Saccharomyces cerevisiae S288C: one gene and its partner. The gene in region 2 interacts genetically with the main gene of each other region. Each region holds a gene or a part of one and is shown on either strand. Other genes may lie near its edges.

Region 1 (2,514 bases), on a different chromosome or scaffold from region 2:
ATTGTCTCACTTCATCTTACCACCCTCTATCTTATTGCTGATAGAACACTAACCCCTCAGCTTTATTTCTAGTTACAGTTACACAAAAAACTATGCCAACCCAGAAATCTTGATATTTTACGTGTCAAAAAATGAGGGTCTCTAAATGAGAGTTTGGTACCATGACTTGTAACTCGCACTGCCCTGATCTGCAATCTTGTTCTTAGAAGTGACGCATATTCTATACGGCCCGACGCGACGCGCCAAAAAATGAAAAACGAAGCAGCGACTCATTTTTATTTAAGGACAAAGGTTGCGAAGCCGCACATTTCCAATTTCATTGTTGTTTATTGGACATACACTGTTAGCTTTATTACCGTCCACGTTTTTTCTACAATAGTGTAGAAGTTTCTTTCTTATGTTCATCGTATTCATAAAATGCTTCACGAACACCGTCATTGATCAAATAGGTCTATAATATTAATATACATTTATATAATCTACGGTATTTATATCATCAAAAAAAAGTAGTTTTTTTATTTTATTTTGTTCGTTAATTTTCAATTTCTATGGAAACCCGTTCGTAAAATTGGCGTTTGTCTCTAGTTTGCGATAGTGTAGATACCGTCCTTGGATAGAGCACTGGAGATGGCTGGCTTTAATCTGCTGGAGTACCATGGAACACCGGTGATCATTCTGGTCACTTGGTCTGGAGCAATACCGGTCAACATGGTGGTGAAGTCACCGTAGTTGAAAACGGCTTCAGCAACTTCGACTGGGTAGGTTTCAGTTGGGTGGGCGGCTTGGAACATGTAGTATTGGGCTAAGTGAGCTCTGATATCAGAGACGTAGACACCCAATTCCACCAAGTTGACTCTTTCGTCAGATTGAGCTAGAGTGGTGGTTGCAGAAGCAGTAGCAGCGATGGCAGCGACACCAGCGGCGATTGAAGTTAATTTGACCATTGTATTTGTTTTGTTTGTTAGTGCTGATATAAGCTTAACAGGAAAGGAAAGAATAAAGACATATTCTCAAAGGCATATAGTTGAAGCAGCTCTATTTATACCCATTCCCTCATGGGTTGTTGCTATTTAAACGATCGCTGACTGGCACCAGTTCCTCATCAAATATTCTCTATATCTCATCTTTCACACAATCTCATTATCTCTATGGAGATGCTCTTGTTTCTGAACGAATCATAAATCTTTCATAGGTTTCGTATGTGGAGTACTGTTTTATGGCGCTTATGTGTATTCGTATGCGCAGAATGTGGGAATGCCAATTATAGGGGTGCCGAGGTGCCTTATAAAACCCTTTTCTGTGCCTGTGACATTTCCTTTTTCGGTCAAAAAGAATATCCGAATTTTAGATTTGGACCCTCGTACAGAAGCTTATTGTCTAAGCCTGAATTCAGTCTGCTTTAAACGGCTTCCGCGGAGGAAATATTTCCATCTCTTGAATTCGTACAACATTAAACGTGTGTTGGGAGTCGTATACTGTTAGGGTCTGTAAACTTGTGAACTCTCGGCAAATGCCTTGGTGCAATTACGTAATTTTAGCCGCTGAGAAGCGGATGGTAATGAGACAAGTTGATATCAAACAGATACATATTTAAAAGAGGGTACCGCTAATTTAGCAGGGCAGTATTATTGTAGTTTGATATGTACGGCTAACTGAACCTAAGTAGGGATATGAGAGTAAGAACGTTCGGCTACTCTTCTTTCTAAGTGGGATTTTTCTTAATCCTTGGATTCTTAAAAGGTTATTAAAGTTCCGCACAAAGAACGCTTGGAAATCGCATTCATCAAAGAACAACTCTTCGTTTTCCAAACAATCTTCCCGAAAAAGTAGCCGTTCATTTCCCTTCCGATTTCATTCCTAGACTGCCAAATTTTTCTTGCTCATTTATAATGATTGATAAGAATTGTATTTGTGTCCCATTCTCGTAGATAAAATTCTTGGATGTTAAAAAATTATTATTTTCTTCATAAAGAAGCTTTCAAGATATAAGATACGAAATAGGGGTTGATAATTGCATGACAGTAGCTTTAGATCAAAAAGGAAAGCATGGAGGGAAACAGTAAACAGTGAAAATTCTCTTGAGAACCAAAGTAAACCTTCATTGAAGAGCTTCCTTAAAAAATTTAGAATCTCCCATGTCAACGGGTTTCCATACCTCCCCAGCATCATACATCTTTTTTCAAAGAAACTTCAAATGCCTCTTTTATGCAAGGGGCAAAATCCTGAAATGACTTAAACTTAGCAGTTTCGTCTTTTTTCAAAGAGAATGGTTGAAGAAGAATTGTTTTGGACGCTTATTGACAATCTGTTGCATTGATAAAGTACCTACTATCCCAGACTATATTTGTATACAAGTACAAAATTAGGTTTGTTGAAACAACTTTCCGATCATTGGTGCCCGTATCTGATGTTTTTTTAGTAATTTCTTTGTAAATACAGGGAGTTGTTTCGAAAGCTTATGAGAAAAATACATGAATGACAGGTAAAAATATTGGCTCGAAAAAGAGGACAAAA
Region 2 (2,795 bases):
TTCGGATTGTCTGGAATCTGGTAATGCAGCGTAGGCCACAAGATTTGTTTACAGTAGTTTTTGTATGCGGCTTTGAAGGTGTCGTCGTCCGTAAGGACAGGATAGGAGTCGTACTTGTCTTTTAAAGAGTCAGAGATGTTCGCAAGGATATTTTCCGGAATCTCATCCGTTGGGATTCCGACGGTACCGACCCACTTAACATGACGGTGCGGAATGATATTCTCCAAGACTGCAGTGTTTATGGCGTTCTTCATGGCGCCATTACCTTTGATAGAGGGAACGATCGACCATGGAAGACGGCTAAACAGCTCCTGAGATGACCTTAACAGCGCATATTTCTTAAGTTTAGATTTATTGGAATAGCCGCCGAACTTTGGAACCTTGTAGTCCTGCTTCGCGTCATCCATTTCCAAATCAGAAACATATTCCTCGTCAGGGGCAGTAGTTAGATCATCCGGGTCCGACTCATTATGCTGCGAAGACGTCTCACTCGACGAAATATCTGCTAACTCCGAATATTTCAGATTAGAAGGCTGTTTAGCCAATAAGGGACGCTGTTTTGCAGCAGACGCAGTCAAGTGGGGCGTAATCCTTTTAATGGAAGGTGGCGCAGAAGACCCAGAAGATCCAGAGGAGGCCGAACCTTGTTTGGTCCTATTAACTAAAGAAGTAGCCGCCGAAGTAGGCCTGTTGCCCGCCCTCGATTTCGGGGTAACAATGTGGTTGTTGGGTCCTTCTAGGCTAGTTTGTGAGGTGTTGTTCAACAGTGAGTGCACTAACAATGACTTGTTGACGTTCTTTAATAAGTTGGTCGTGGGGTCCTGCTGTTGCTGTTGGATTGGCGAAGCAATTCTCGAACCGGAGTCATGCTCATGCTGGATTGGCGATGCGATGCGATCCGTGGGAATATTGGAAGAAGGGGAGAAGAATCGTTCCACGGAACCATTTTTCCGGGGTTTAAGCATAGTCTTGCTTGTTGGCGTATGTGAGGTAGTTGCATTCGCAGTCAAGTTTTCCATGAATATGTCCGAAGAGACAAGATCATCTAAAGTGGCAGTATTTGTCGTAGACGAGGCGCGGTTGAAAGCACTGGGTGACCTGGTGGCACTCCTTGAGATTGCTGGGGGGACACCTTGTTCTGGTGCTGGCGCGACCAATGATTCCTGTGAGATGTTGTTAGAAAGCGCACGTTGTTGCTGTTGGTCATTGGCCATAGCCTGGATGTTCACGAGAGATGAGTCCACCTGCGAGTTCTCAGGGAGAGAGGTGTCAAGCTCGAATTGTGGTTGGTAGGGCAAAAACAAAGATGCCACGATGAGAGCCATTGTGTTGATCTTGCGTTGCTATTGTATTCTTTGCTTTGTTTGGTTTTTTAATCGACGGGTGGGTGGATGTGCAATGACACGGTAGATCCTTATATTTATAGTTACATTAGTATTTATATTTAAGCTTGGCTAGACGGGGGCCCCAGGGTGAGTGTGCTAGCCCCTTGGTTCTACCCCCTTCTCCTTCCCTAGGTAACTGACACCATAGCCGCTGCCCGGACCCCCGCCCCTTCCTATCTCCCTTCGGCGAGGGCGCCAGGCCCGCCAGCCGGACTTAGACACTTTCGAGCAAGCAATCCCAAATACGCCATATCAAAATGCAGGGGCGGGGTGACCCGCTTTTCTCGAAATTTCTATCTGGCCCTCTGTTTCGCCCCTTTTACCCTGAACGCGATTTTTGAGCGAGACGAGAAGAGCAGAAATTTCGCAATAAGTTACTACAATGGTGCCCGCTTTAGAATAATAACTCGGGACACATTTATACATTCCCACACACACAGACGAGGCACGGCTACCCACGCGCACAAAAGTAAAAATGGATGGATCGACTATAGTGTTTATACTGACGATGGTGTGCTTGTTTGTTTACACCGTGAAACACAGGGGCGCCAAGCAAGTACCCTCGCGAACCGTACAGGATGCCAAACCGGCGCCCTCGGTCGCCACCAACGACCCTTCTCCGGAGCCAGTACCATCGGCTCCGGAGGAACGCGTTGCTCGGTTAAACAGACATGGTAGTGATCGAAAGAGAGCCGTTAATAGTGACATGGTTGAAATCGTGATGACGATGGCGCCACATGTGCCTCAGGAAAAAGTCGTGCAAGATCTCAGGAACACAGGGTCCATTGAGCACACAATGGAAAATATCTTCGCTGGCAAACTAGATTAGGCATTCTTATGTACCGCATTAAATATATTAAAAATCACAAATCGACTGGCGTAGGATGTATGCGCCTCTTTTTACTATCGCTACTATTGCAGGGGATCTTCTTCACCGGCAGCATGTTCACGATCCCACCTGCCTCGCGCTGGTTCTTAGCCGCTACCGCGCTCTCGTCAGTGTCTAGTGGCTCTGCATGCATCGCTGGCGGCTCTATCCTTGAACCGAATTGCGTTTCTGTGTCGATCGATACATACGAACAGAATCCGTCTGTTGATGAGATTAGTAGGGTCGAGCCATCCTCAGACCATGCTAAATCAGTTATGGGTGAGTAATGTATATTTCCCACAACGCATAACGGCTCCAATACATCCGTGTCGTACACGAGTACTTCGTTAGTCGTTGCTATGGCAAATACTAGCTTATAGGGCAGCTTAAGCACACTCTTCTGGCACGTTTCGTAAAATACGGGCGAGAAAGCCGCCATCAGCGCTGGTTTCTTCAAAGATGGGATTCTAATCGCAGGCCGGTTTTTAACGCCACCAGCGCTGTTCAGTATTCCAGATCTAGTATACACGTATACGCAGTTC

The links. A genetic interaction does not mean that the proteins touch.
Region 1: mutations in CUE4 (region 2) and PAU8 together harm fitness more than expected from each alone (negative genetic interaction), as found in Saccharomyces cerevisiae (one large-scale study listed by BioGRID).

Annotation. Positions count from the first base shown.
Region 1 is NC_001133.9:1,226-3,739, forward strand, and holds PAU8 (seripauperin PAU8), read right to left. Parts: upstream 945-2,514; coding exon 582-944; downstream 1-581. Other genes in the region: YAL067W-A (uncharacterized protein), read left to right, coding at 1,255-1,482.
Region 2 is NC_001145.3:69,154-71,948, reverse strand, and holds CUE4 (Cue4p), read left to right. Parts: upstream 1-1,860; coding exon 1,861-2,214; downstream 2,215-2,795. Other genes in the region: TSL1 (trehalose 6-phosphate synthase/phosphatase complex subunit), read right to left, coding at 1-1,325; YML100W-A (uncharacterized protein), read right to left, coding at 1,638-1,811; CAC2 (Cac2p), read right to left, coding at 2,249-2,795.